Linked DNA regions of Drosophila melanogaster. The protein of the gene in region 3 interacts with the protein of the main gene of each other region in a pairwise test. Each region holds a gene or a part of one and is shown on either strand. Other genes may lie near its edges.

Region 1 (7,339 bases), on a different chromosome or scaffold from region 3:
CCGTTCCAGACGCTCGCCATCCGCTGCGAGGCCTGGGCATGCAGTGGATCTTGGGGCTCGAGCGGTGCGAGTGGTGCGAAGGGCAGGGGCGCGAACAGATTGCGATGCGCCGGCAATGGGTGGGTTAAATGTGGCATAAAGCTGCAGAACGGTGGGAGTGGGCGTAGGAGTGGACGTGGTGTAGAGTGATGTGGTTAGTGTATACAGTATTAGCTGGCTACTGTGTGCCCATATGTGTGTGTGTGTGTGTGTGTCTGTGTGTGTTCCCTTCATGCAAATTCCATTGGTGAGCGGAACGAATCGAAACGGAACCGGGACCCAATAATTCATATGCCTCCATTGTTACCTCGCATAAAAAGAAGCTCAACTCTATCCTCACCAAACTAAATATATGTATCTATCTGTATGTAGTATATATGCTGATCGTGCTCATTGTTTAGGTTTTTTGCGCAGCATTTACCTGAGCCGCATACTAAGCGCCTGTCAGTGGAACTCTTTTTAGAATCAAATGAAAATAACTTTTTAAGTGCCGAAACAATCGCTGAAAAAGGCGAACAAAACTTGAGAAATGTTCCTGCACTTGTCATCCATCAACTGAGATTTATGTCAACGGATTTTGGTTTTTTCTGCGTCTCCCAATGCATTCGAAATCTGTAAACTGACTCAGATACTTTCTATGAAGACATACATACGCGTTAGCCAACTTCAAATCTTTTTTTCTTCGCTGCGGCTCATTAAAATTCGCTTCGCGGGAGCTAATTAAAAAAAGCTCATAATAAGTGCTAAATGAAAAAAATATACGAAACGAAACTAGCTGGAAATAAATAATAAAACAATACTGCCCGAAAAGGCGAAACGTAAACAATTTGTTGGGTTGCTGACTTTGAGGTACTTCTGTGTATCCGATTCACTTCTGGTTGGAGATCTGCCTCCGTCCAAGATGACTCATCCAGGCGGGACGTGATCGACAGGGCTCGAAGCGGCTTTGGCTGAGCTACAGATACAGGCGGTTTAAGCCGACATTACAATACATAGAGGCTTGGCCAGTTTGATTTTTTTTTTTCTCTTTCTACCTTGTCAGATTCTCTGGAAATCACTTCTATAATATTGCTAGAGCGAGTGAATGCACCTCAGTTTAAATCAATTGTGTGTCCATCAATCAAAAAACCATCAAAATATTTGATAAAAAGGAACACTTAATTTATTCACAATTTATTCGCAAGAATATTTACTCAAAACGTTATCATAAATATTTTATATTACTTGGAAATAAGTCAAAAATTTTATTTCTTTTTCATTATTTTAACTACTGTACGTCGATTATTGAATGCAAATAATATTTCAAAATGTATACATTCATATGAACAGATTTGAATAAAGAAATAAAAAATCTTACAATAGAGCGAATGACTTTTGAAATCTTAGAATAATTACTCTTCATCTTAAAAATTGTGCAAAAATATAATATCAACTGTATGTTGTTTGATAAGATATTAAATATATCCATTTAGCAGTAATTCAATGACTAAGTACTTTGTGAAAGATTAATGAATGTGTGAAGTATTTGTTTTGTGATCATGGTATTCAAGACTACTTGGAATATTTGTAGACTGCGTATCCAATCTGTGAATCGAATATAATTTGCAAACAAACTAAATTCTGTTCGCTTGAAGCCAGAGCGAAAGTCATTGGCCACAGAAATTTCCAGGGAAATGTTTACGTCGAGGGCAGAGATGGATCCAACCAAATGGCTGCCTGATTTAATTTAAGCGCAGCCGTGACAGGCAGAATAAAAAAAAACATTCTGTGAGCGTTAAAGGGGGAACCAAATTGTGGGCGACCCAATTCGAGGGCAGATTATAGAGTTTGCGGAGACATTCTTTTGCCGGCGCATTACCCATTACCCACAATATGCCACTTAATGCCGTGTCAAATGTCAATTGCTCTCAGGGCCAAAACTGTTCGAGATTTGTGTGCCAAAGATGAGCCCTGCGGCGGCTTGAACCCAAAGGTGGCAAAGTCAGCCAAGTGTGGAGCGAACGGAGAAGATCGGTGGAAGAAGATGTGGATCTTGGTTGCCCAAGTCCCGCGGTGTTGCCCCACTTTGGTTGCACATTGTTCTCTTGCGATGCAGTATCTTTCGCAAAAAAGGGGGAAAAAAATAATAAAAGCCAAAGACTCAGATCGTGGCCTTTGCACATTTCCAATGGCGGCAAAGAACCCAGTTCGATGCGGATTTATTGGCAGACAATCTCTGCGACTCAACAATTTCAGTTTAAGGTTTATCAATTGAGGTCAATACTCGGCGGGCTTTTGGACTTTCTTTCCGGGGGAACTTTTCGCTCTTTCAGCGCCTTCGCTACCATAAACATTTCGGTCAACTTTATTTGCAGTTTCGTTTAGCGGGCGAAAAGTTTCTCCAAGAACAAACAGGGCTCGGTGCCTCGTTGGGCTTGAAAATGTCATAAAAAACACTGAACCCGGTATTAGCCAACTTTTATGTGGTGTCAGTGGGCCCAGCGGAACCCGTGAGTGAAAAAAATATTGAAACTGTTTAAGCATTTTTAAGTTGTTTAACATGTAAACCTCGTCGGTATGTTTGCTTTGTTAAGTAGTTGTAAATGAGCAAATCTACTGGGAAATGTTGGGGACTCAACAGCTGGGCTAACTACGTTTACTTATAGTTCACCTGGAGTTATCTGAGGACTCGTGTGTGGAATCCGAGGAGTCATCGAATTCGGCAACCTCTTCAGAACTTGAACTGGAATTCAACATTTCGTTTATTGGGACAGATTTAAAAGGTCGGGCGGATGGGAAAAATCTACTAGGGTTAGTTCTATGGGACTTAAGCACTTAATATTAACGATTATTTGGAAACTTTACCAATTGGTCTTCAAAAATATATTTGAAAGCGTTATTGTAAAACTTCAATAATGGCAAAATACTTGTTTTTTAACTCGTGGCTTACATTAATATTGTTATAAACATTGTTATGGATGGTATCAAACGTTTCAATTTAGATCTAATTTTGTATTTCTTTCAAAGTGTTTTTTTTTTTTTAATTTTTTTCCGTTTTTAGTTATTTGGGATGCGCTTGTTAGGTAAAATTTTGTTCCAATGATTCTATGAAATTGTATATGTTTAATTAGAGAAGTATTTCAATTTTGTGGGTCCCAGGCATTCCTGGCATTTCAATTGTGTTCCGATAACATAAAACATTTAGTTCATGCCTTATCAGAAGATGTCGATGTACATATGTTAACCATTTAGCCCGCAACGCAAACAACTCAAACTACGTGAAATGTGCATGAAACGAACGCTACTACACAGCACGAAAAACTTGTCGGATTGATACTCACTCGCCGTAGAATGGAACCGCCTGGATCTGGATTGATCCCAGGAGGAGCAGGCAGGCCCACAGCCGTAGCATGTTTGGTATCACAATTTTAATCTGGAGCCTCGGTTGGGAGCTAAGTAAATGAACGAGACAAGCTGAAAGTTGCTGTAATCAAGGGAATGGCTGAAGCTGGCTGAATGGCTGGTTGGATTCGAGAAATTTCACCGCGATGGATGGAAAAACAGCTGAGAAACCGAAGAAATACAGGTTTTCCACGCAGCGCTGCACTCGCGTATGTAGGTGACTGATTTTGGGAGTGAGAGCGACGGTCGACGAAGAAAATTTTCCACTGTCTTCACGCATTAATTGTAAATATGCTACGGATAGACGACATATACCGCCTGTCACTCACTTGTAATTATTGTCAATTGTCTTGTTTTTACAAAAATTGGCACACACTCAATTATCAAATGTCTCTGGCTCCTTTTACTGCAGTTAATCGTAAAAAAGGGGCACTTGTGGCACTCACGAAAGTTGTTATATGTTGCTTGATCCGACGATGTTGCCGCTTCAAGTCGCAGTTTAAAACTAACTGCCCAAGAACGTCGAGCATCTGGTATTTATAAGCTGCTCTGCCGCAGTCGCCGTCGATTCCTCTGCCGCGATATCAACGCATGTAGTGATCATGGGAGCTTTGGGAGAACAGAGAGAACTTTTGGGGACGCTGTGAAATCGGTAATAGCTCTATATATGTATGTATGTGTGTATTTACATATGTATATGCAAATAGTGCGGGTGGCAGGAGGTTCGTACAAATTGTGAAAGTGCCAGCTATTAACACTTCATAGAGAAGCGAGCGAAACGAAGCACTTTTATTAATCATAGTACATTTCACTCAAAATACTGTAGAATTTGGGATACAAAACCCAAACTAAAACGGTGTAGAATCTGAAGAATATATCCTATAATATAGGACTCATATCATTTCAGACTTTGGCTTGGCGAGCATTTCAAACTACTTATTCATTTCGAGTATTTTCAATTTCCTAGAATCATTTTCTGTTTAAACTGCACCTAGAGCGTTTCTGGCAATGTCCTACCTGTATTTGCTAGCCAGGTGTAGTGCGCACTTGGAATTTCCGATATTCCCGTAACCTCTAACACCCATCAATCACTGTGGTGTCTGGTCGGTTCCGCCTTATTAGGAGTCTCCTCATATTTTGAAACTGTTCCGATCGGTTTTTATTGTTTTGTATAAACAAGATGTCAGCTTGTAGCTACATGTGTAGATGAAATTGAATTTCTTGGAACTGTTAGAAGACTTTATAATGTGTTCTTATATTTGATTGCTCATTGTTTTGATTTTAGTCAATATTAGATGCCCGTTTTTTACTTATTACCAAAGTCAAGCAAAGTATGTTGTTATTGAAAAACCATGAAAAATCGTAATCATCCGTTTCTGAAATAAATATTTATTCATTATTTACAATATTTATTTGTGCTATTAATGTAGGTGTATATATATTTTGTATACGTAGATGTACCACAACTGAAATGTATCTTTAAGTATATTCGTTTTAAATATATTTGTTTTAAATAAATAATTACTTTCCCACTTTTCTGTTTATCTTGTGCATTTGAACTTCTTCTAGTTTAATTTTCATCATAATTTTGATTAAAAGTTTACACTTAGATATGCAAATAGTACAATTGAATCCACACACTCATCGAAGCATCTCATTCAATTTCAAATAAATTCCCAATAAATTATTCGCAAGTCTCGTTATACATTAAGCTGAAATTTTGTGTCGACAAACAGAGCAAATTCTTAGCCGTGTGTTTTTTGTGTGTCCGTGTTTGAAATAATCTCCAGCCCAGTGATTATTTAAAACACTCATGTGATCCATTTTCTGTTTCCAAATCTGCTCTCCCGGTCCCCTGTGTCCATCTACTTTCGCATTTCCTAGTTTTGTAGCTCTAAGAGGAACTTCCATCAAGATCTATCAAATCGCTCAACATCGCCTACTCGAAAAGTGCTGTGTCGATGAAAGGAAGAGAATAATCAAAATCTATAATTAATTGGGTATAAAATTGGGTTTCCCCCCATTGGCGAGCAATAAATAATAAATGTATTAATTTAAAACTTTATTCAGCTTCCTTAATAATAGGTTGCCACCTTAAGCTTGAAATACAACAGCTTTTTAACCAAATACATTTTGGTTAAATGAATTTGTGAATATGTACCTGGCCGTTTGCCTCGCATTCCCAGGAATCCGTTGGGCGCTCGCTTTTCTCCCCACAGGTAGAGCCATGGATGCACCAGAGCTTGCTCATGATCGTCACCAATCCCGACTCCGTTGCCCTCCAGATCGCTCTTCTTGCCACGCACCGCCACAAATTTGCTGTTGAAGTCGGCGAAGCGCTGCTGTTTTCCTCTCAAGTCATAGGACTTTTTAAAAAAAGTGTGCCAGAACTGGGGTCGATTAGATCTTCACATATGTATAGATATGCAATTCAATGGTTTCTTTTATGTATTATTCAAAAAAAGACTAACACTCTGATTTGCAATGGGGTTTTAGTGTTTTAATAAGCGCATCAAGAGAAACCACTGTACTTGCCACCAACAACTAACTGCAAGGTAAGTCGACTTACATCGGAGAGAGCTGCACGCTTGTAGTGCTGGTGGGAGACGTCCTTCTTGCCGCGCATCCCCACAAAGGAATTGACCGGCGCCCGCTTTTGTTGCAGCTCCGTGGCCTCGTCCGCCTCCGCGTCATCGTCCCCGGCCAGCAGGGCGGGTCGCTTACCTCGCATGCCCGTGAACCCGGTGGGCGCTCTCTTGCCCACCGCGGAGCCATCACGCCCAGCCACGCGATCGAAGAAGTCCTGCAGCAGGCTATCCCGCAGGCGCTCCTCCTCCAGGCTCTGCAGGACATCGGACAGGCGGTTGTTGATTGGGATGAATTTCTTGCCACGCAGGCCAACAAAGGCCAGCGGTGCCTTCTTCAGTCGCCGCCCGTTCTCCGCGTAGCTGCTGTCCGCCTCCTCGTCGGCGTAATCCAGCGGATCGGGTCCCGATCCCAGCCAGTTACCCTCCGAGGTGTCGTGCTCCTCGTCCTTCTTGCCGCGCATCCCAATGAAGCTGGACGTGGGCGCCCGCTTTACCACCCGACGCGGCTCTTCGGCGCCGGGCGTCAGCGGGCTGCCGGAGGACTCCGTCTCCGTGTCCGCCGCACTCGATGGTGCCGTCAGCAGGAGCAGCAGCAGCAGCGCCAGCGCTATCAAACCGCTCAGAGGGCGCATTGGATGTGGCGAGCTTTTAGGCGGGCGTGGAAATCGATGCGCTGCTGGAAAAGCGAAATTGGGGAGAAAATCGATGATTTATTACAATGTGTAATTAGGAAATAATGTTAATGTCAGATAAATATCTAGATATTTTATTACATATTATCACAACTAAATGTTGATACATCTTCATTTTTAGCTGGAAAATAGTTACATAGGGTATTAAAAAGGGCTTATAACTACAGAAGAGGTTAAATATAATCACTCTGCCACATTTTTATTTATGTCAATTTAATTTGACTCTACTCAGCTGTTTTATATAAATTAAATGAATTTAGCTTGTTTATAAATACTTAGTAATATTTTCTACCTCACATATGCAATTACAGAAATACAAAAATTACTACAGATATTATAAAGAAAACGCGTATGAAGTGTGTAACCCTTTAAAAATGTTTTCCATTTCATTTCCTGCTTTGTTTGTTTTGATTTTCCTTTTTTATTTTTTTTTGCTATTCGCATATACTTGCTTTAGTGCACTTAGACTCGCAAATTCCCCGCGGCGGCGTCTACTTGACCTTTTTGTACTCGTGTTCTACGGTTCGCGGAGTGGTGTGAATAGGTTAAGGAGCTTGGTGGGAAACAGAATGGTTTCCAACATACACACTTATGCAACATTGTATTTGAGAAAATAATAATACAAACTATGTATAATAC
Region 2 (8,008 bases), on a different chromosome or scaffold from region 3:
CACTCTCCCATGAAATCCATTTACCAGCTTCGCAGGAGGAGGACGCCAAATGATGAGTCGCCTCCTTTTGTCAGCTTGGTAAATTGCACCACGTGTTTCTGATAATGACGACATAATTACGCCACAAGTTGGAGTGAATGGAAAACAAGGCTGGAAAAGCAGAGTTAGTGAATTAAAAATTCTTATAAGCCAACTAACTCATTAAAAAATTAATTTTTTTCTTTCATAAGTGATTTTGAGGAATATGTTGTATTATGTTATTATGTAAAAATGACTAAAAGTAATTTAAGTAAGTTTAAGTTTAGCGCGCACTTACCCTTTACTTCCACCAAACTAGTGTGTCAACCCTCGCTAAAAGATCTAAGCAAATAGAATGTCAAAATGCAAACGACAAACAAAAACAAAAGGCGCAAAAGGATAATGGATGATGGGGTTGGGCGAAGGAGCAGGATAGCAGAAAACCGCCCGCGGTCACTTAGAGCCCTAATTTAAATATCATTAGTGAACAATTAAAACAAAGAAATGCCATTCGAAGCCATGCGACAAAGCCAGAAAACGCAACCCAGAGCCCAGAAAACAGAAGCCCGAAATGCCAGGACAATGCGACGCCATCGCAATAGCAAGTCGCCTGTCACCGCCCACGAGTCGCCTGGGGGCGTGGCAGGTCTCGACGGAAGGATACGGAGTCAGGAGCTACGAAAACTGGAGGGCGGGTGCGCATAAATGTCAACGAGAAAAACAAAAAGGAAAAAAACTGACGAGCATTGACTCGCAAGATTCGAACATTAGATATCCTGTTTGGAAAAAATAAATGAAGTGAAATAAAACTATTTCCATTCAATTATTTAAATCAAATTCTATTGTAATTTTAAAATTTTCATCCATGTAAGGGACATAGTCACACTCACAAAGTTTTCACAATTTTGATAGATTTATAAGCATGCTCAAAAATTCCCAGGGTATCTGTGTACAAACCAAAATCCAGCGGCGAAAAGCGACAATATTTTGTTGTGGCTTCGCCAAAGTTGTGACAGCCGATCAAATGAGAAGGCTGCCCGGGATCAGGATGATTTTGGGACTTGGCCATGTGAATGGGCAGGTGCTGCGTCATGGTTCCTGGTACTTCGAACTGAGCTCTAACTGTTGGCCCCCATTAAATGGCCTCTCGAATACCATTTGTCAACGGGGCAATGGGAATCGTGCCTTATCGATGCGAAGCAACTGGCACATGGTTCTGGTCGCATCTCCACCCACAAAGTGAATGAAAATTAAGGAAAACAGGCAGTCACGTGTCCTCCCGCTGGCGGCCAAGTGCGCATCCTGCGGAGGATTCGCCTGCGGACTCGGATACCGATTCGGTCACCTGATGATGCTTTTCCCAGGACCAAGAACAGGACCACAGCCAAAGCTAGAGCCACAGCCAAAGCCACCCAGTCGAGGGTTAGTGGCACAGGGGTTACTGCTGGTGATGGAGGGCTGCGTAACATGATCCCTGCGTGCCTTGGCATAATTTGTTATTTTGGCCCACGCATTATTATATCCTTGGCATATCCTTGGACTCGAATCGCTCCGACCAACTGGCTCTTTGTGCTGACGCTGATTATATCCCGTGCTCTCCGTTTAGAGACACCTTTTGTCGACGCGTCCATCGAGGAAAATATCGATTACATTCGCTGAAAGTTTTCGTTCCGCAAAAAATCCAAAAAAAAAGAAAGAAAGAAAAAAAAAAACGAAAAATAATAAAGTAAAGCGAAGGGACAAAAGAACCGCAGAACAAAGCAGGCAAACCACTCGGTTTTCGTGGATCCAGCCCCCGCCAGAAAATAACCATAAATAAGGGTAATAAAAGTGATGCTCAGTTGTCGCTGCAGCAGCTGCATCTTCCCAGCCTCAGATCCCAAGACGATTCCGATCCACATCCAGATCCAGATATGTCGTCGTTTGCAAATAAATATTCGCCACTGCCAATAATCATAACATTAACTCAACCGCCGATCGAACTAATGAGATCCCAGCACATCCTTTCCAGATTTGTCCTTTTTTTGTGGTACATCTTCCGTTTGTCAGCCTCATTTAAATATATGAATATCAGTTAAGAACATCCATTTTTTAACTCTCCATGTTCTTTCAGCAAGTGTTGTGTAAGTATTTGCTAAGCAATCAAGTGATTTAAAATACAATCCCTATTGATAGGAAAACAATACCTGGAGTGTTGCCTTTGGCTATCCTTGAATTTATTCAAGCATTTTTTACATTAGCAATCTAGGATTATGTTGTACTTAAAACAAACTGCGGATAATCGTGGTAAATGTTAGGCATCGCATAATAGACATCGACATACATAAATATGTGTATATGTATATGTAAGTAGTAAAACAATGTTAAGTTGGACTTGGAACGATCAATGGAATCTGTATCTCCCTCTGTTCTAGCGCTATATGTATATATTATATATTTTTTGTATGTTCGTTTTGCTTTGATCTAGGATCTGCGAACTGTGAAACAATCGTATACGTCGAGTGTGTATAGCCACCGTGTAAAAGGAGCCGCCTGGACAAATGCTCTTTTTTCATTCTCTCGATTTTTCGATTTTTCCATCCGGACTTGCGAACCGGCGAGTCCATTGTTCGCCGGCCAAACAAAGGATGTGTCGTGAGCGTCGAGGGGCGAGTTATTAAAAACAATATTCGAGGCTTAGCCGGATCGCTTGGATGGGCAGATATATATCTCGAATCGCATCGAGTCGAGTTGAGTCGAGTCGAGTCGAGTCGAATGGGGAGTGGACTTATCTCGCATCTTCGCATTAACACTTTCGCACACACACACACACACACGCGCACGCACGCAGACAGTCACATATACACAGACATGGCACAAAATGGCCGCCAAGGAGCTGTGCTTATGCGTATGTATTTATTCGCATATGTACCTTTCATCTCCGACTTGCCTGGCACCTCATACACATCAGCACTCCCCCGACTTCGGATGGGTCGATATTTGCGTGACTGCAAGAAGAAGTTAGTCAAATCAACAATATGTGAATGGAGCAAAAGAATCTAATCTAACGGGTAAAAAAATAAGAACAATATTCACTCTATGAGTGCGGTTAATAATTATAAATTCCTGCCAAAAATGTCATCGCCATTATCGACCAGTCGTGACCTTTAACCTCTGACACCTTACAACTTCTCAAAGGCGTTGGCATTTGTGAGGAGCTCGCGGGTCAAGCGCCACACCTGCTTGGCCGCCTGCTCCAAAGCACTGGGGGATTTACCCTTGAACATGTCCAGTGCGGGAAGGAAGTAGTGGGGACAACGGCGATACTGCAGACAGGATATCAGCTGCAGGAATATCCCATTGATGCGGTCAGCGATGCAGCCCTCGTCCCACTCAAAGTCCCGCGGATGCTTCTCGCACTCGTAGAGCAGCAGGTTCTTCAGGTGATACGCACTGATGGGATTGCCTGGTAAATCCAGATGCCTGTCCCTCAGGGTCTTCAGCATGCTCAGACAACGTCGACGACAGCCACCTGAAAGGAATTCAATATGAGATTTAAATACACCAGATTTCAAATTCCCAAACTATACTAAAAGTTGCTAGTAAATTGTGTGATCTTTTCTGTAAGTGTAAAGGTGTATCCATAAGATGTTTACCTTGCAGCAGACGGTTTTCGGCCTCGAAGAAGCTGAGCACCCAGGCATCGCCCTCCATGCTGGCGGCATTGTTGTTCTTGTTCTGCATGATGACGCTCTCCTTGGACAGAAGATCGAAGCCCTCGGTCTTGACCTCCGCCACGATGTTGGGATGTGGCCACGGGAGATGTGGTACCGGCCAGTGGGCCGCCGATCTTGGCCAGATGCCTGAGCACTTAAATGCCGGCGTAATCTGGACCACGAATCGCTCCCGAATGCGCAACTTCACCTCGCTGGTGTCGCCCACCATTTTGACCATGTCGCGGTAGACACTTTTATCGCACGCCTGGGCCACCAGAGTCTGGAAACGGGCACGGATCTTCCGGGAGGACAAATAACCACTGGCCGTTATGAACTCCACCCACAGGGACATGGACCGCTTCCTTCCATCGCTCAGCTTCAGAACAGCACATCCCGGCAAGGTGCCATCGTCCACGAAATTGAAGACACCCATTTGATTCAGATACAGCACTATCTCGAATTCATTCGGGGATATCACTTCAACGCCCTCGAATCTGTAAAAGTGATGTTAACTATTTCGATGAAACCGCTTACTTACAATACTATATATATATTTTTAAATCTATATATTAATCTGATAGTTTATCGTGTTGAAATGAGTATAATAGGGGGCGACTGCTACTCCGTTTCTGGTGGCGAGACCTCGATGAGCATGACTTGTCAGTTAACTGACAATGACTCTGCACTTTGGTTGTAATGATCGCAATGGAGTGAAGAGGATCGGATTTGATTGCAATGGTGTGGAACTACTGGAGTGAGAAGTAGCCGCGATGACAGTCATCAGGGCACTGGAATTACCCAGATATCTTGTTGATGGCTCTGTGGTTGGGAACACTAGACATCTCTGATCGGATGAGCAGCTCTCGTTTTTATTAGCTAACTTATGCATCGGCTTAACATTAGGTAATATAGTTATTAATATATGGTTATTAAGAAACTAAAGAAAAGATACTGAGATACTAATGAAAAGATACTGAAAAAGTTTACCTGCCATTGCACTCGACGAGGCTGGAGATGAATCGCGGCTCCTGCAGTTCCACCTCTTTGAGGATGTCCTGGACGATCTTGCAGATCTCCCGGATGGCGGTGGCCGTCTTGTACATCCTGGCCTGAACCCTCTCCGTGCAGAATCGATTCATCTGATAGACCATGCGCGTCTGGGCGGCCATCATGTCCGGCGGCACCAGCATGGTACTCAGTTCGAGTTCCACCAAGCTCCAAAAGTACCAAAAGTACAACGATCTATCTGTAGATGTATCTTTTTACCGGCGACACTTGGTCTGGCGGCCAACTTAAAAGCCAGCCAATTATGCGAAATTCGGCAGCGGGTCTCCTTCTGGACGGGACAGAACAAAGGAACAATTCAATTGTGAGTTACGGTGACAGCAGAACCAACAATGGGCACAAGTGGAGCACGACGACGACGATGACCGCGGTGTACCGAGTATGTATATGGGTATTTTAGCTTTTGGCTCTTCAATTTTAGTAGCTGCTGCCCGCAGATACAGTATCTGCATTGGCGAATTGCTGACCGAATGATGCGCTGCGCTCAATAGCGATACCCCCAGCCTGATGCCGCTGCCGATGCCGATGCCGATTCCGAGTACGAATCGAAGTCAGCCAAACGATACTGATACCGATACCGAAGTCGCGGCTGGCTGGCGTTGTAAATCTCGCGGATATTTACAGCTTCGGGCAGATAAAAAAAAAAGCGCTGAAAGTGCAGTTTGGCCCGGCTGCAGCGAAGTATCTCAATATCCATGCCAGTATCTAACAAATCCGCCATCTCGGTGGCAGTGGCATGAATGGGACTCACAGGCTCAGATACACACAGCTGCACACACAAAGATACAGATACATGTCGGTGCTGTCACGTGACAGGGGTCTCTGTCTCGTGCCACGCATTCCGACGCTTAAAAAATCGATGAGATACTCGCCACAGGCCCCGCGTATCTGTCGTATCTGCCAGATGCACTTTGACAAAAATCTAGGCACTTTAAACGTTATAGATACAATTCTAATAGTAACTCTTTCTTAGTTGTTGTAGCAAAGAGCCACTTCTTCTTATCACAAATGTTATATTTTTCAAAGAAGAAATAGTTCGGTTATTTGATTTAATATAATTCCCTACTTAAGGTTCTGACTAAAATTACTAGTTAACATTAAAATAAAAAACACAAACAGAACTTCATTTTTCTGCGTGTACTAAAAACAAATACGCTCTCTGTCTGTCTCTCTGGCCTGCATGCGTATGGGTGTATCTATGGGGTTGCCTGCTTGTGTATCTGTGAGAGCGGCGCGTTGCCATTGGCCCGTCGAGGCCACGCCCCATTTGGCGGCCGTTACGCTGCGGCGCCCTCTTTGAAGTCTTGCGAGCCGCGGTGTGTGTATCTGTGTGTAAATTTAATTTGTTAAATACATTTCGGCCTGCCATCGCGTACAAGTTGTGTGCAATAATTTATCTGAAATGTGCACTCATTTAGCAAAGAGCAGCGAGCAACGAGCAACCCTCGTCCATGTCCCACGTTTGCCGGCCGATATCTTTATATCTCGCATCTCGCGGATACACAGATACATTTACACTCATAAATATGTCGCGTGGATTAATGTGCCAGTTGGCAATTTCTGACAGCGCTCTCAGTTCCAAGCGAGCAACTTCCTCCGTTCTCGGTTACCGCCTTTCCCCCTCTCCGTACGTCTTATATACCATATAATAATATGTACATCGTGTATACATACATATATGTAGTGTACTTGATGGACATGTGGCAAGATCAAAGCGCCCGTCGCCTCCTCCAATTAGACAAATCCCAAACGCAGCCACTAATTCGAGTGGAGGCAAAACACAAACCGAACACAATTGCCGACGACCAGCAGAATTTTCGCAGAAGGAAGCGGAAAAAAGGGGTCAAGCATCCCATGGTGACGGAAGTATCTAAAGACGTATCTGCAAGGTATGGATACAAAATGTTTAAGATACATACATATATGGAAAGAGATGCAGTGAACTAAAAGTTTTAAAAAACGTATAAGTTAGGAAATATATACAGCGAAATACTTAAAAAAAACTATATATCGAATATGATCAATTAGATGGCCCTTTAAACTAATTTTGGCCACTTAACGAAGGCCCACTGTATCTTTTGTTGGCTGTTAGGTCTTTTGTTCGGCTTTATTGACATCAATCAGTGGCAGTTTGAGCAGATCTAGCCATATCTAAATAGTATTCAGCCCATTCCAATTTGTTGGGGCCGTGAATCGTTGCTGTCAGCCGAATTTTAATGGAGCCCCAATGAATGGGATACGATTGGATGGGATACCATTTTAGAGAGAACGACGATGCCAGGTGCTCCTCACCACTCCATGGCATTTGGCTGATTTTTGGCGCGCTGGATTTCCACGTAACCAGATAGATGGAGGTGGCACTGGAACTCCTATCTAGATGCGCGCATATCTGCATAAATTTCAACAAACAGAGGAAACTAAAAAAAAGGCCACAACAAGGAGAACTACACAGTTTTTTTATTTTTTTTTCCAGTTTTTCGGTTTTCAGACCCAGGATCGTGGGTCTCGGGGTCGCCGACCATTCATGTGACTTCATGTGGCATGTGTGTGTTTTTCCCGTATTTTATATATCTCTTAGATCTCAAAGAAATTTGAATATAATTTATGTGCAATCGTCGCTTTTTTTTTTCGGTTGGTTACTGACCGCCCGTTCTAGAGGTCCGGTTCGGTTCTGTTCGGTTCAGTTCAGTTCTCGTTCCCCCGAAATGAAGAACGATCCATCCATCTAAACGTTTGTCACTTGCTCCGTTGTCGCCGCCACGTTTGTCTTCTTGCTGCTCCGCCAGCTCTGCTCCTTCGTCGCCGCGTCATCGTCTCTTTTGTCTTAGTGCCCCTGTCCCATCCTATACCATCCCGATCCGATCCCATTCGATCCGATCGGATCCCATCGGACTCCGTTACGATTCTAGTCCCTTCACTAACCATTCAGCGCAGTTTATTCCTCCGGCACATAGACATAATCAGGCTGTTCAGCTGAGCTGGGACCTCCAATTCTGGGAAATAGCGAGCCGATTAAAAAGATCATGTATCTAGATCTGAGAAAGTTATGGTGTAATCAGGCAAGCAAAGCAAAAAAGTATCTATCGCATGTGCATATACAAAGTTAAAAGTTTTCTAAGCTTTATGTAACTATCTTTACTTTGTAGTTTATAGACCTTAGTTTTAGACTTAGACTCTAGACTTTATTGACATTTCCAGGCTTCATGATTTCTCACATAACTCATAGATAC
Region 3 (8,094 bases):
TGTCACAGGTAGGGATCGAAATGGGCTACCCAATCTAAATCTTATACTTATACTTATGCTCTAATACAGGACTGCGGCGATGAGCCCACCAAGGAGGCAATCCTCTCGTATGGCAAACAGGTCACGCTCATCGAGCAGCCTGATCTCAGCGACATCACAGTGCTGCCGAAGGAGAAAAAATTCAAAGGCTACTACAAGATAGCCCGACACTACGGCTGGGCCCTGAACACCACCTTCGCTGTGGGCTTTGAGTTCGTCATAATCGTCGAGGACGATCTGAACGTGGCGCCCGACTTCTTTGAGTACTTCCTGGGCACGCACAAGCTGCTCAAGCAGGACCCCAGCCTGTGGTGCGTGTCCGCGTGGAATGACAATGGCAAGGCTGCTGTTGTGGACGCCGCGCAGCCGGAGCTGCTCTACCGCACCGATTTCTTTCCCGGTCTCGGCTGGATGCTCACCAAAGATCTGTGGGCCGAGCTGTCGGTCAAATGGCCCAAATCGTGAGTGGGGCAATTATGGTGTTTGCCAGCCAATCGCTAATGGTTCATTAACTGTTCTAGCTTCTGGGATGATTGGATACGTCATCCCGCCCAGCGCAAAGATCGCGTGTGCATTAGGCCCGAAATATCACGCACTCGCACGTTTGGAAAAATAGGCGTTTCCAAGTAAGAGATATAGCTAGCTAACAATGCAACGTGCCAGCTAATAATGATAATTTGTTGTTTAACAGCGGTTTGTTCTTCGATAAGTATCTGAAGCACATTAAACTGAGCGAGGACTTTGTGCAGTTTACAAAAATCAATATGAGCTACCTGCTGAAGGTAGGTACACACCCGTGCATTGTTGCCTCATTACACTAACAACTATTTCATGTTCAGGACAATTACGATAACACGTTTCTGCGGCGCGTTTATACGTATCCCATTGTTACGTACGATGAGCTGCGGCGAAACCTGATTAGGTGAGTTGATATATGATATATAGAAAGTATCTACATAATTCCAATTATGGTGTTGCAGAATCGAAGGTCCAGTTCGCATTCAATACACTACTAGGGAGCAGTACAAGCGGACAACTAAGATGCTGGGTCTTATGGATGATTTCAAGGTAGATCAATCAATCTATGTGCTTGAAACTATGATTATTCTTAATCTTTGTAGAGCGGTGTTCCGCGGACTGCCTACCATGGCATCGTCTCCTTCTACTACAACAAACGGCGCGTGCATCTGGCACCCAACGCCAACTGGAAGGGCTACGAGCTCTCTTGGAGCTAACGACGCTAAGGACAGAGTACCGCCAGCTCCACTTCCATTACCACGCAGCTAGCTCCGCGTGCTTGCAATACCAAAAATAGCCCTATGAGTTTTAATTTTTATTTGACCAATTAGCTAAGTTGTAACTATGGAATCTCCTCGAACAGTAGACGCTGTTCGCAGCCATCGCGTAGGCAGGAGTACTTGGAGTACTAGCCCTGATTTCTGATAGAAAACGCAATTCGTCTGCTCCAGATCCCTAGCCTACGGACCTACTGTTGGCGTAACAAAATCAAATCAAATGAGTCTCCACTATGTATAGTAGTCAACCGAACCGAACTGTGTGTGGCAAGAGCCAAAAGTGTTCCATTCTAGCACACCAGCCACACAAGCAACGCAATGAATTGTAAATAAGTCAGTGTCGTTCGCTTTTGTTACAGCTCTCTCTATCTGTCTATCTCTCTCAATTTATCGTGTTAAATTGCAAATAGTTATAGCAATGGTTAAGTTATAGTATGCAGCGTGTAATTTGTAGCATTTAAGTTGATCCAACTAGAGTTCTAACGGCAACGGACGTGTAATATTTGTGATTTTTGATTATTTAATTTACATTTATTAATTGTTGAGAGCCAGTCAGTAAACAGTACCCGACCCACACAATGTAACATAGAATAGCAATAACTAGCGCTAGTACTAGTACTAGAACCACAACGTAAACTAGACCAGTGCTGAGCCACCAGGGGTACGCCAGTAATCCCGGCCAGATCTGAAAGTGTGCCACTCTCAGCTAGTTGTAATGGAATCAACCCAGACAGGACACCTACTCTACTACCCCCTATGACTACACTTTGTATGAGCATATTTTTGTGTGTATGAGAGACGTACGGAACATAAATTCTAAAGACAACCAATCGCCTTTTCACTCCGCAGCAGGTGGCTCCTCATCCTCGTCCAGATGCTCGCAGTCAATGTCGCTGCACTCGGACTCCGATTGTGTGGGTCTGCGGCTCCGCTGCGCCTGATTTAATCCATCGTGGCCGTAGGCTGTGGCTGTTCCAGCGACTGGCGTGCTGCGTTGTTGCAGAAAGTTGGCATTGGCATCCCCAAAGACGCGTTCCAGTTCGGCGAGGCCATTGGAGGCGCCGCTTTCCGCTTCCGGCGGCAGCGTCGCGTACTTCATTTGCAGATAGCTCTCGTTCGTTGGCAGTGACGCCGCGTAGTCCACATAGCTGGTCGCATACGGCTTGCAGCGAGGGATGTAGCTGGCCGCAGGCACACCACCCGCCGGCGGCTTAGCCACGCCAAAGGGCAGGGCGAAGTTCAAGGGTTGTCCACGTGCCAGTATGGCATTACGGGCACTCTCCATCACACTGGGACCCGGCAACGGTGGCATTCCGCCGCTAGTCGCGTACGGACGCATGGGTGAGCCGGTGGCCGTCGTTGCTGAGGCCATGGGTGCAGCGGAGCCACTGCCATTTAGCATAATGGACTGAATGGGCGTGGGACCCGTTGGCGTTTGGCTAAAGAGCCAAAGGCGATCACCAACCACCATCGGCCTGGCCAATCCCCCGATACCCAGCTGGGCGTAATAGTGCGAGGCCAGCGTTTCCACGTCCGAGGTGTACTTGCGCTTCCACTTGGTGCGGCGGTTTTGGAACCAGATCTTGATCTGAAAAGTGAAATGAATGAATGAATTATTTACGAGGAATGCCAATTGTATCTCATAGATACAAGGGATTTCATTTCATGTTATTAATCGCTTTTAGATAGAATGGCAAACTTTTTTGGGTAGTAATTAAATTTTTTGATAGATTCCACAACTAACCTGCGTTTCTGTGAGCTGCAGCTGCTTGGCCAGTGCAGTTCGCTTCGCCACCGAAAGATACTTTCCCCTTTCGAACTCCGTTTCCAGTGCTTTGATTTGAGCTGCCGAGAAGGCGGTACGCGGTCGCTTTTTGCGGTCATCACCAAGGCCTGCAATGGAATCAAAGTGGGAAATCGAAATCCCAATTAGACATTTATTGCTACCGACAGCGGGCAATCCGGCGCGCGGTGCCAACTATTTTCGCCTAATGGTAATTTGTCGATCCGTTGTTGGCACAGTTGTATGTGTATGTAAAATGCCCCGTCGCACCGCAAAACCCCTGGCAAATTGCAAATCACACTGTTGCATTTCACTTAGCCAAGGCGTCTAATTGGCCATTTTGGCATACATTCTCTTGGCCGACCGAAAACAAATAGCCATATAAATTCCTTCTTAACGGGTGGAAGAATATCTCCTTTGAGATCGCCAGCGATCTTTGTTCGCTTGTGACATTTGCATCATTAGTCGACTGCGTTGGTGTCGACGAAAATGTGGATATGGAATGGATGGCTTATTCCCTGTCACCCAGAAGCTAATTTCTGATCATTTGTTTCTTGATCGCACGGATGACAGATGAGATCATTCAGCCATAGGCACTCACTCATTCGTTCAGGTGGGAAACTCATTGCATATTTACATACAATAATGAACGGCTGTGCTGAGCTCGTTATGGGTGATTCCATTAGGAGGTAAATCATCTTTTAGAGACATTTTTTTTCAGAATTTAAAATTTGTATATTGTAACTGTATTATTTGAAAGATCCTTGATAATTCCTTGAACCTTGATAATACTACACTTAAAAGCACTAAAGCACTGACTATTTGGCTGTTGGTGCTATTTATCCTGATGAAGTTCAGTATAAATCTATATTTTGTATATTTGCTATTTAATAAGGATCCAATTGAGCTTTAAGTTAAGTTTTTAGATCCCAAATCCAATTCCAGACACCAAAATTCTCGTCGTTGTAAAGCTTATATTCCGGCATATCGATCATACGCACCGTTTCCATCATCTGAGGCCAAATCGATATCACTTTTGCCGTCGTCCATGTTGTCATCCAAGCAACTCGATGTTGCCGGACTGGAAGCCCGTGAAGCACCGAGACAATTGCCACCGCGACCGCTTTCATCCTGCACGGAGTCCTCAAAGGAAGTGGAGCTGCGCATTTCCGGCTTGGCCAGAATTTGTTCGATGGAAAAACTGTGTGGATAGCGACGCACTGCCGATTGCGAATTCATGTTTCCGCCGATTGCGAGCGATATATATTTTGAAGATATTCCGGAGACAACAGCGCGCGTGGAGATCTTACGGAAAACTAATTTGAATATGCGGAGCATCCTGCTCACTGGCCGATTTTTCAAGATGATCGCCTGGCGGGGCGGAGCCTAAAATCATATATCTCCGCACCGCTCACACCATATGCGCAAATAGAACGACAGAAAGGAACAGAAACATACTATTCGATTTTCACTGAAGACAGCACACAAGTTCGGTTATTTTTAAAACATGTGTGAAATGTTTGGGATGAGGGGCGTGGCTCGCGTTCAACGCCGTCTTCTGGGTTTTCGAAATTGTTTTTGTCGCCTTGCCCGTGATTAAAAGTCATAATTTTTGGCTAATTGTCTACAAGTAGCGCTATTTAATATTTCGATGGCTTTGCTAAATATATTTAATACGTTTGCCAACATATTTCATCCATTTGATTAATGAACGGCGAGCAATTTCTTTGACTGGATTTGTTTTCAGTGCTTTGGTGTGCAGGCACGTGTCCTCTTTTGGGTTAATTCAGAATTCTTTAAACAATGCAGCATTCAAAAAATTGTATTCAAATGTACAAATGGTTTCTTTGTCGATTTTTTGGAATTTTTTAAATCTCTTAACAAAGTAATACAAGGCCATTAGTCTAAGTGATTGTAACGCAATGCATAATTGGGTTCTACTAGCTTGAGAAACATTTTTAATGTGTATAATATATTCAATTTAAATCTGAGAAACAGTAATTTTGAAGCACAACATTTTTTGAATCATAACTTAATTGTTGAGTTTTTAGAACACCTTCCTTACAGATATTTCATATTATAACTTTCTATTTCTTTGAATCCCAATCCCAAGCCCCCTGTAAAAATTTCATTAATTCGAAATTATGAACACATAATTCAGACAGAATGGAAAATGGAAAAGGGGCACTCAGGATCCGAATGGAGGGGAGGATCTGAGAAATTAGCCGGCGGCCTGGCTGACACTAGTTTCCAATTGGCCAGCAGCCAAATCCACAACATCTACTGGGCTACAGGGTGCCCATTCCTGGATGCGCGGATGCCCCATGATAACGTCTTCATTATTCAGGCGCGATTTGAACAAAATATCTGAAAACACGTTAATTAGTCGCCGAGATGGCGGAGCAAAAAGGGGAAAGGGGACGAATCGCAGGGCATCCATTTAGCCGGCCGGGCTGTCAGTTTGATTTAATTTAATGAGAATTCTGGCGGGGATTCGGATTCGGTTGCGGATGCGGGGGGGATCTAGATCTGCTTATGAGGCCGCATGCCCGAGTGTCGCGGGCACTCAAATCAAAATGACAACTTAATTTTCATAATTGCGCTTAATGAATATTCGACTATTGCTTGCCATATTTCAAATTCCACTGCCAAACAGAATGCAGACTTTGTTTCGACTTCGTCATTTTTGAGTATTTACCAATTTGTTGGCTACTTTATAACCTATCTATCCATGGGTATCTATGGAATCACATTCAAGCCGAACATCTGAACATAAGTATTCTATTCTATCTTGTTTTGGCTAAGTCAATATATTAAGTTTCCTAACTGGATCAGAGAAATCTGAGGAAGGAAATGAACTTGCAGATATGTTTAAGTATTATTATAAGATTCTCAGCATAACATATTTTGCATACCTCTTACCACTTTGCACTGGAATTTGCCTCTGGAATTTCGAATCAATTAAGGATCTTTTGGCCCTTATTGCGTAAGACGACAACCATAACCTTAGGCTAACTAAAGATCAGTTTGTTTGGTTCTCGCATTTAAGACTAAATGGAGCGCAGTCGCGTCAGAATTTAATTAATAACCGAGCATGCATCTTCATTATAAATCATCACTTCTCGAGTGTTTGTCAGGCGCACGCAGCATAAATCACGTCCGGAGTTGCACTGGCAGTCGCGTGGAACAGTCCGTCCTCCGGCCAGAATTTCAATGTTTTTTGTGCCCTCTTTTTGTCATCGCATCCAGCTAATGATGCATCAAGTCCTGCAGGGTGTTAGCTACATCTAACTGCTGCCTCGCTGCCACATCGATCATTGGGCTGCTCCGGACTAACATCTGTATCTGTATCTGAATCTGTATCTGGAACGGGCATCGGTGACACTCCCACGCCATTGACTCTCGGATATTCGTGTGGTTTCCGATTACGCCGAAGGTGATGTTGGAACTCCTTTTGCGGGCGAGCATTGAACTCCTTGGGAAACTGTATCCTGATTGATTCGTTGGGCTGTCTATTTGTTTGCCTCGAGGCTAATTTGTGTGAAGACCTATTAGAGCTGGTTATGGAAATATGATACCATGATTAGGTACTTAGAAACTATGTAGAACAGACCGCAGAGAGAAAGTATTAAGAAGGCATTCAATCAGGTGGTATAAATATGTATAATTTTTTATACATATTGCCTGTTAAGCAGCTTGTATTATTAAATGAAAACTACTTAAATTTTTCTATATTTTTGAACGTATTCGTTAATGCGGAAATTAAATGCAGATTGCATTATCCTGCCAAAAGACCGCCATAAATATCGGTGATGAATTTTGGGATCTCCACCCATCTTATGCTGTTAATTTCATTCATAAAACTGCCTCCGGCAAACCAAAAAACCAGCCTACGCCTTATAAACTGACAGATATAAATAATAATTAAGAAAAAAAAAAAAAAAACGGGAGAGAATGAACTGCATATTATTAATTTAATGTGCGCTCGTTTCGAATTCGGAGTCCGTGGATGGGAAGTGGGCTCCCAGTTTCCAATTCTTGGTGCACTTTTCTGGGAAACATGCTTGGGGAGGAGCTCGAGGAGTAAAAGGCGTCATTCCGTCATTCCGTGTGGTGTTTATGTTGCAGGCGAGCAGACAAGACTCATAAATTACAACCAATTATCAAATTAGATTTTTACAAAACATGCAGTTTAAATCATATAGGAGTGTTTCGCTTTTTTTACGACACAATCAAACAGATTCCGTTGGCTCTTCTCGGATTTCCCTGCCTGTTTTTTATTTGTATATTTTTTTTTTGGTTTTTATTTCTCGGATCAAATGGTGAATCAATTCGAATTCATGGGCTACTGATGGAGGCAATTAAAGGAAAAGCTGTGCAATTGGAAAAATTAGCAGACAATGCGAGCCCTGACAACTACGCGCAATTAATTTGGTGTAATTACTCAGGACTGAGTGACAGATCTGGAGACTGGATGCATCTGTATCTTTTGCCTTTATTTGTATCTCGAGTGTGCGGAGTGCGCTGTGTTGCCACCTCAACGCATCGATGGGATTCTCCTCGATCTTCAACAATTGCGGCGGCATTTTAACGAGCCAAATGGGCTGGCGAGAAGATTCCCTCCTCGAGTGGCGGAAAATTGCCCCCACATCCCCAACCCAGTGGAAAAGGGGTGCAGATCCACTAGTGACTCTACTAATTGACATCGGCAGTCTGGCCTGTGATATCAAACAGTTTCACGCACAAATTGAAACTGATAATTGTGTCGGACAGATTTATGGGCCTAAGTGATGAGCATATGTTTTAATTAATTTCCAAGAAGTTACTCCCAAGTTACTCCCAAGTATATGCTTGCTAAAATCTAAGATCAGTTTCCATAGCCAGGTAATGCCGCGATTTGACGTCCATGTGATACATGTGGCATATAGGATACATTTTGAAGGTAATTATGACAAATGTCTAACCCGAACATGAGCC
Region 4 (8,088 bases), on a different chromosome or scaffold from region 3:
CATCCGTTTCAGGAGGAGGCCAAATGCTGTGGCTGCATCACTTGCTCCAAGGAGACCCGCGACACATTCGCCGAAATGATGAACTTCTCTCTGCTCAAGGACATGGTGTTCGTGATCTTCTCCGTGTCTAATTTCTGCACGAGCATTGGCTTCAACGTTCCGTACCTGTATGTGGTCGCCTACGCGGAGACCCTGAAACTCACCAAGACGGATGCCAGCTATCTGATATCCACGATTGGCGTGGCCAACACAGTGGGCCGCATAATCCTGGGCTACATATCGGATAAACCGTGGGTGAACCGCCTCCTGGTCTACAACGTCTGCCTCACCGCCTGCGGAGTTTGTAAGTTTGTGATCTGATCGGCGCGACCTTCAGACTAATCCCATCCTGCTCCTCCGTTCCCTTTCCACTAGCCACTGCCATGGTGCCGCTATGCCACGACTTCCAATCCCTGGCCTTCTACTGCTGCGTCTTTGGCTTCACGATCGGCGCCTATGTGGGCCTGACCTCGGTCATTCTGGTGGACCTGTTGGGACTGGACAAGCTGACCAACGCCTTTGGCCTGCTGCTGCTCTTCCAGGGTATTGCCAGCTTCATCGGTCCGCCCATCGGAGGTGAGTACTCGCCATAGCTGGAAGTAGTGCTATGTGTCTGACCTTTGCTCTCCAGGCTGGATGTACGACCTGACGGACTCGTATGCGCCGGCCTTCCTGATGGCCGGACTCATGATCGCCATCAGCGGACTGGTGATGTTCGCCATTCCGCCGCTGCAGCGCCTGCAGGTTCGCAAGTCGGAGCGAAAGCCCCACACCGAGCACCTGGCCCTTAGTTAGTAGTTCACCGCCACCCATCCACCACCCACAGTGCCCTGTTTATTCCTACTCCATATTTTTTTGTTTTTTTTTCTACTGTAACTATAAATCTAGATACGTACTGATGCACACGACACTTGGTTAGATTAAGTCCTAGACCTAGGCCAGCCATGTACCGAGGTATGCGTGTATGCCGCAGCTATGGCATATCCGAATAATTGTGTACGGGCGACTGTCACCGAACCGCCGGCTTCTGTCCCCCGAGCCATGACCTCTGACCCCAGACCCCAGACCCCTGACCCCTGACCCCAGACCCCATTAAAGGCCCCCATTGCAAGTGCATGCAAATGTATGCCTACACGTACATGTACCCATACCAAATTATTGTTATTCTATTATGACTGTATGCCTGTGCGTGTGTGTCCGTCTGTGTATGCGCCATTAAAGAAAGCTTTTGTACAACAACAGAAAACCACAAAAGTCCATTTTGAAATCGATTGGCTGAAAAACCACACATGCCCCTGACAATGGGAATATGAAATGTGCGGGTAAGTAGCGTTGTGCTTGAAACAATCTATTTTTTACGAAATCAAATACGAAAGATACAGGCTCTAGAAATTCATACGCGTTAAGATTACTGCAATCAGTTTTGGCCAATAGCCCCAGAAATGCAATAGATAATCCATGTACCATATAAATCACATGCCATATACATACTGCCCAGTCGACTTGCTCCTCGTCAACACAGCATTCCTTTCACATACTACAGTGCTTGCCAAGACGATCCCAAAAAAACGAATGAGAGCCCAGAGAATCTACATCGTGGCAATTTTCAACTTGTTGGTCAATCGCAGACCGGTGATCTTCGTGGCTAGTTGGCTATTCATATTTATTGTCAGGGCACAGAGGCGTTCCTCGAAAGGGGTCCACATACAGAACGGATTGCAGATATAGTTCGAAAGGATTCGGTGTTTATTGGATTCTTAAGTGACTACGAATAAAATAGCAACAAAGGGCTCGGATGCGATTCACGCCACCCCGAAAAGTACGCATTCACAAAAGCACTCACTCATTCACACCTAAAAAAAAAAAAATGAAGTTTTGAAGCTAAATATGAATCACTGAATCTCCCCGGTGATCAGCTTCTTTAGGGTACACTCTCCGGCTCCCAGCTTGTGGAGGATGGCCAACACTTCCTCGCGGTAGCGATCCATGTGGCCCATCTCCTCCGGAGTGTACTCCTCGTGGTCGAACCGCGTCATCCTCCAGATCACATTCAGCTTGGCCTCGATCAGCACGTAGTTCGAGGAGGGACAGAAGCGCGGACACAGCTCGTTGATGAAGTGGATCATGTCCTGGACACTGCACGAGTTGATACGGTTATTGATGGTGTTCAGCGCGAAGTCCTGGTACTTGGCCATCTTTGCGTGCGGGAACACGTTCTCGCAAGTGATGCACCGCCAGTCCGGCTGCAGTGTCCGAGTCTGGACGGGAATCACCAGGCCACGGCAGCCCTGTTCCCGGCAGAAAAGCGCCGACAAGTAGGTGCCGTTTTCCTGCAAGAAGACAATGGTCAGTGAATCGAAGGACTTGGGGGGAATCAGGAAATCGGGGGTGGAATCTGCAGTCAAAGATCCGGCGGGTTCACGTCCGCCTCTGTCCATTCACGGCGTACAGTTGGTTCCACTCCGAATCGAAATGGAAATCGAAATCGAAATCAGAATCGAAATCAAAATTAACATTCTGTGTGTCATGCTCATGTAAATTTTGGGGGTGTGTGTTAGTAGCCCGGGAACTTTGGATGCCCACATTAAAGGCATATAGGCAAATAGGATCAATGGACTGATAATGTATGCCTCGGAGGTCTTGAACAAGAGTGCGTTTAAGGTGTATATTTAATAGCAAGAATGGAACTGTCCAACGACTGCAGGGCTGTGACAAAGATGTCTCAAGCTCACCCAACTCCCAACAAGTAATTTTGTTACTATGCCCATCAGGCAGTCATTTTAGCAGGGAAAAGTGCGTGTGCCTGTTACCAAATGTTGCCCCTTTGCCCACTTGATGGACACCCCCCCTTGGGCGCGCCCCTGGGCCCTGGTTGATGCAAATCATATAACTAATTTAATTAGGGAACGCATTTGTGTCAGGGGGCCTGGCCAGCGGCGGCCACTGCCAACGCCAGAGGCCATTATTCAACTCATCCCAGAGCGGCAGAGAGCGGCCACATAAATAGATGTGGCCGGCCGGATATGTGGATCGCGTACGTACATACATATATGCCCATGCCACTCACATCCCTACCACACGCGCACTTTCACAACGCCGGTGACATCGGCGTTGGCCAAGAAATGTGCCCGAAATTCAGAGCTTTTCAAATTGCAATTATTGTTTTTTGTTTTGGGACAAATATATTGCGATGGTCGCGATGCAGATGGCGGATAGGGAGAATGATAGCTATCAGGTAGGTTCAGAAAAAGAGGATTGGTGGAAAGTTTGGCGAAGATTGCTATTAACCATGAAGAAACTCCATCAGCCTAGAAATGACCATAGTCAGAAGCTAAGCTTGCAGATGGTGGGAGGAGGGATTACCCAAGGAGACCAGGATTCCTATTGGTACCGTACTCACAGTATTGTCGTGACACCTCACGCAGTCGCAGGCAAAGTGCTTGGTCATCTTGAGGAAGATATTCCGGGTGAGGTTGCCCCAGAGGATCTTGGTGTAGGTCGTGGTAATCTCACCGCCCTTGGGAATATCGCGCGCAGCCCGAACCACCGCCAGTCGACCGTTTTCGAAGTAGTGACTAGCGTTCGGGGTGCACTCGTGGTTCATGATCGCCGTGAGCGGGAACAGACCCCGCAGTAGCGTCTCGTGGCCGCCAGAGCGGCAAGGAGCCTCGAAGGCATTTGTATTGAGCACGCCCACGATCCGGAACAGCTGGTCCATGAACACCCGATCCGTGGTGGGGAAGTTCCGGAAGCATTGGGCCGCCTGGATGATCTCCCGCCGGTAAGCGCGCTCCGCATTCGCTTGCATGGCGTCCACCAGATGCCGCTGTTCCTTGCCCAAGTGGAAGACCCTCACTGCGGTGAGGATCCTCAGCGACATAGGATTCACCTGCTCCTGCTCCGCATCCACGTCTTTGGGCTGCCAGCGACGGAAGTGCTCGCACTCCGCCTGGTGCTCCTCGGAATCCGAACAGGTTTCGCATACGGGCAGGGTGCAGCGATGCCGGCAAAGGAATCCCGTTTGCGGCAGGGTCTCATGACAGCAGATGCAGCTGCTCAGTTGGCCCTTTCTCGCCGTCGGACCGGTGACTAGGGCTCGCTCCTGGAAGATCAGCTCGCCGGCGGCTATGTCTCGGGTGGCAAACACCCCACGACCTGCCACCGTGGAGGAGCTGATGGTCCAGTTGGGCTGCTCTTGGCGCAGATCCCCCAAGTGGACGTCTATCAGCTGCGCCAGCTGCTCGGGCGTGGTGTCGCGACAAGGGGCCATGTGAGCGCTCAGGGCGGCCAGTGTGGTGTCTCCTCCACCACCGCCTGGGCGAGGAGGCGGGCACTGGGCAGCAGTAGACATGGCGACTGCGGTGGGAGGTCGGTCGGAACTGCGGCGAACCAACGCGACGCGCGGCAACTCGGCGAGTGAAGATGTCTCCGCGCAGCTGGGCGGACTACGCGGGAATAGCAACGATATAGTGGCGACAGCGACGACAGCAGCAACATGAGCAGCGGCAGCAGCAGCAGCAACACCACCCAGCACATCAGCAACAACAGCAACAACTGACTGCCGACAGTGGAAGCAACCCAGCAAAGCAGCGACGCTTATGACGTGGACACACCGACGCCCTCGGAGAGCATTAGACACAACTAAAAAAACACAAATTAGAGGCATCCACCAGGGAACGGGGGAAGGCGATTGACGAAAGGGGCCGGGAGGTGAGGAACGGGAAATGGGGGGGCAAGGGGACAACAGCGACAACAGTCAAATATGATTTTTTCCAAGGCACACGCACACTGAAAGCACACACACTCGCCGCCAAGTTCCCATTTACGAAATCCAAAATAACATTTTCCCCGAAGGAAAGAACTTGAGCATTGTGTTCATTGTTTTGGCCAAAATTCGGGCTATTTTTAGGCAGCTTGACACAAAAGTTCAACACTTTTTGTGAGAAGCCAAAAGTTTTGATTCCGCGATAAGCGGTTTCGAAACGTTTTCGGAGTCGGGAACGTGGAGCCACTTGGTGCGCCACTGGGAAATAGAGACATTTGGCTGGGACGACGCAAAGCGGATTTTGCTTTTGACTCTTATTCAATTTGTGCTTGAGCTGTTGTTGCCGTGTGGTTGTTGCTGCCGCTGCTGTGGTTGCTATTGTTGCGTTCAATTGGATTCGCTAGTGGGCGTCCATCGGGGGTTGACGATCGCGAGGGGCATAGTGAAAGGCACTGATGCAGCCATCAGCCATCAGCCATTCAGCCATCAAAGAACATTTCCCACTGTCAATTTGTTCGCCAAACACCTCACTGTGGCTGAAACCCCCAGCCCCCTTCACCGAAGTCTGCTTGCGGTTGGTTATGGACGCCATAAACTGAAACGAAGCCATAGGAGCACCACCCACCCCATCTCATCCCCACCTCCACCCCCATCCCATCGCTATCACCATCTTCATCCGATTTCTGTCGCCCTACGACAATCTGAACGGTTGGCAAAATTATTTGTGGAGATGCAGCGCCATTGATACCAAGCGTGTTTGTCTCCCACGCTGCTACACTGGCCAAAAATGAGTGCACGACGTAATAGGCCGCTCATGGATAGGACTGTAAGCCCTGGAGAGTGTTGCCTAAATGCATACAACGTAGAATAAGAAATGAGTACTACAATCCTGGCTGGCAGTGCAACCCACTTTCTGCGGGTCTAACTACATATGGCAGTGCGTGTGGCCGGGACATAAATTAGGGCTTCGCTGGCCAATGAGTTGCGTGTTCCAGGGGCCAAGGGGTCGGAGACACCAGGCCGCAAAACGAGGTGAGCGTCGCAACACGTGACCTGGTGGGGAGAAGGACCAGTACCAGGACCATGACCAAAAATGGGGTGGCTCCACTCCCAGCTGTTCACTTTCCGACGCGAATGTCACGCACTGTCACATGTTCCAAAGTGGAGTAGGTTCGTCCTGCCACGCCCATTCTCTGCGGTAATACGTAAATCAGTTCTAAAGCGTACGACCTCCGTTCTCCCTGCTCCTGCTACGGACCGCCAGCAACTTATAGTTCGCCCACATTCCAAATCTATTTTCACTTTTACGCGCATTTTATTGGCCCAATCGAACGGAAGCTAGACTGAGCGGCATGAAGCGAATAGAACGCACTCGAATGCCAAATATCAAAAAGCGTGAATACCAACTGAAAAATTATAGGGTGCGTTCGGGCATTATCGACCATGAGTCCTTTAAAGCTATCATGATAAATATTATTACATTAGCACAACCACAACTTTTGTAATAGTCGATCAAATGTGGAATGCCATACCTTGTTGAATTCGTAGCTTAATTTCCTATCCAGTGGCATTCCCAGCTAAAAATATTAAAATTTCACCATTTTTCGAAAAAAAACGTGATGTAACCCCTTATAAAAAAGTGAAAATTTCGCAAAAAATTATTTTTACCAAATTATCTAAAAAATGAAATGGGTCGTTAGGTGAGGTTGTCAGCTGCAAAAAACAGTATGTTTCGTATCTGTGCGTCTTCATTTTGCGAAGTTACAACTAAAAAACCAATAAAAAAGTCGTTCATTTTGACAAACAAATGTGTCATGATTTTTAGTAAAAAAAATATCAGAATTTTGACCACAACTTTTGTAATAGTCGATCAAATGTGGAATGCCATACCTTGTTGAATTCGTAGCTTAATTTCCTATCCAGTGGCATTCCCAGCTAAAAATTTTAAAATTTCACCATTTTTCGAAAAAAAAACGTGATGTAACCCCTTATAAAAAAGTGAAAATTTCGCAAAAAATTATTTTTACCAAATTATCTAAAAAATGAAATGGGTCGTTAGGTGAGGTTGTCAGCTGCAAAAAACAGTATGTTTCGTATCTGTGCGTCTTCATTTTGCGAAGTTACAACTAAAAAACCAATAAAAAAGTCGTTCATTTTGACAAACAAATGTGTCATGATTTTTAGTAAAAAAAATATCAGAATTTTGACCACAACTTTTGTAATAGTCGATCAAATGTGGAATGCCATACCTTGTTGAATTCGTAGCCTAATTTCCTATCCAGTGGCATTCCCAGCTAAAAATTTTAAAATTTCACCATTTTTCGAAAAAAAACGTGATGTAACCCCTTATAAAAAAGTGAAAATTTCGCAAAAAATTATTTTTACCAAATTATCTAAAAAATGAAATGGGTCGTTAGGTGAGGTTGTCAGCTGCAAAAAACAGTATGTTTCGTATCTGTGCGTCTTCATTTTGCGAAGTTACAACTAAAAAACCATTAAAAAAGTCGTTCATTTTGACAAACAAATGTGTCATGATTTTTAGTAAAAAAAATATCAGAATTTTGACCACAACTTTTGTAATAGTCGATCAAATGTGGAATGCCATACCTTGTTGAATTCGTAGCTTAATTTCCTATCCAGTGGCATTCCCAGCTAAAAATTTTAAAATTTCACCATTTTTCGAAAAAAAACGTGATGTAACCCCTTATAAAAAAGTGAAAATTTCGCAAAAAATTATTTTTACCAAATTATCTAAAAAATGAAATGGGTCGTTAGGTGAGGTTGTCAGCTGCAAAAAAACAGTATGTTTCGTATCTGTGCGTCTTCATATTGCGAAGTTTTTCAATCATAGTGATTGATAATTCAATCACTGCTTTTGTTACTTAGTGCCATGAGCAGAAGTGAATAGACAACCTTTTTCCCCAAATAGAAAGGGTAGGCGGAACGAAATTCTCGACAAATTTCAAATGATTCTTTATCCGTTTAAGTTTTAAAGAATTTGTGCTAAAATTTTATATTTAAAGGCGTACAGAGTGAGCGAAAACAAAAGGAAAACCTAGTGTTTTAGTGGATTGACGTGCGACTGGGTCAAAGGGGTATTGAAGAGAAGAGAGGCAATAGCTGTTTTGACGTGCTATACGGACTTTGACAGTATCCGAAATTGAATAAATAAGTAATTCAGTGTGGGCTATGTGGTATGTGTGGGTACTTGAACTAGTTGGGGCGCCTCCATTATGTCAGTATTGGCAGACTGCCCGAATCGTATCATACAATAAAATATACCG

The links.
Region 1: the proteins of lms (region 3) and mfas interact in a two-hybrid assay, tested with the Drosophila melanogaster proteins (one large-scale study listed by BioGRID).
Region 2: the proteins of lms (region 3) and CG4766 interact in a two-hybrid assay, tested with the Drosophila melanogaster proteins (one large-scale study listed by BioGRID).
Region 4: the proteins of lms (region 3) and SmydA-8 interact in a two-hybrid assay, tested with the Drosophila melanogaster proteins (one large-scale study listed by BioGRID).

Annotation. Positions count from the first base shown.
Region 1 is NT_033777.3:11,989,383-11,996,721, forward strand, and holds the start of mfas (midline fasciclin), read right to left. Parts: upstream 3,934-7,339; 5' UTR 3,867-3,933; exon of another isoform or gene 3,471-3,866; 5' UTR 3,431-3,470; coding exon 3,360-3,430; intron 2,762-3,359; coding exon 2,690-2,761; intron 621-2,689; exon of another isoform or gene 472-620; coding exon of another isoform or gene 461-471; intron 142-460; coding exon 1-141. Other genes in the region: Tk (tachykinin), read right to left, coding at 5,360-5,373, 5,582-5,810, 5,990-6,640.
Region 2 is NC_004354.4:5,995,294-6,003,301, forward strand, and holds CG4766 (uncharacterized protein), read right to left. Parts: upstream 5,505-8,008; 5' UTR 4,904-5,504; coding exon 4,701-4,903; intron 4,208-4,700; coding exon 3,654-4,207; intron 3,530-3,653; coding exon 3,180-3,529; 3' UTR 2,215-3,179; downstream 1-2,214.
Region 3 is NT_033778.4:20,553,220-20,561,313, reverse strand, and holds lms (lateral muscles scarcer), read right to left. Parts: upstream 4,438-8,094; 5' UTR 4,357-4,437; coding exon 4,119-4,356; intron 3,228-4,118; coding exon 3,079-3,227; intron 2,923-3,078; coding exon 2,173-2,922; 3' UTR 1,361-2,172; downstream 1-1,360. Other genes in the region: Mgat1 (mannosyl (alpha-1,3-)-glycoprotein beta-1,2-N-acetylglucosaminyltransferase), read left to right, coding at 1-8, 70-500, 561-665, 731-821, 879-961, 1,020-1,107, 1,161-1,274.
Region 4 is NC_004354.4:2,204,095-2,212,182, forward strand, and holds SmydA-8 (SET and MYND domain containing, arthropod-specific, member 8), read right to left. Parts: upstream 4,585-8,088; 5' UTR 4,391-4,584; coding exon 3,440-4,390; intron 2,370-3,439; coding exon 1,932-2,369; 3' UTR 1,421-1,931; downstream 1-1,420. Other genes in the region: Mct1 (monocarboxylate transporter 1), read left to right, coding at 13-343, 415-615, 671-834.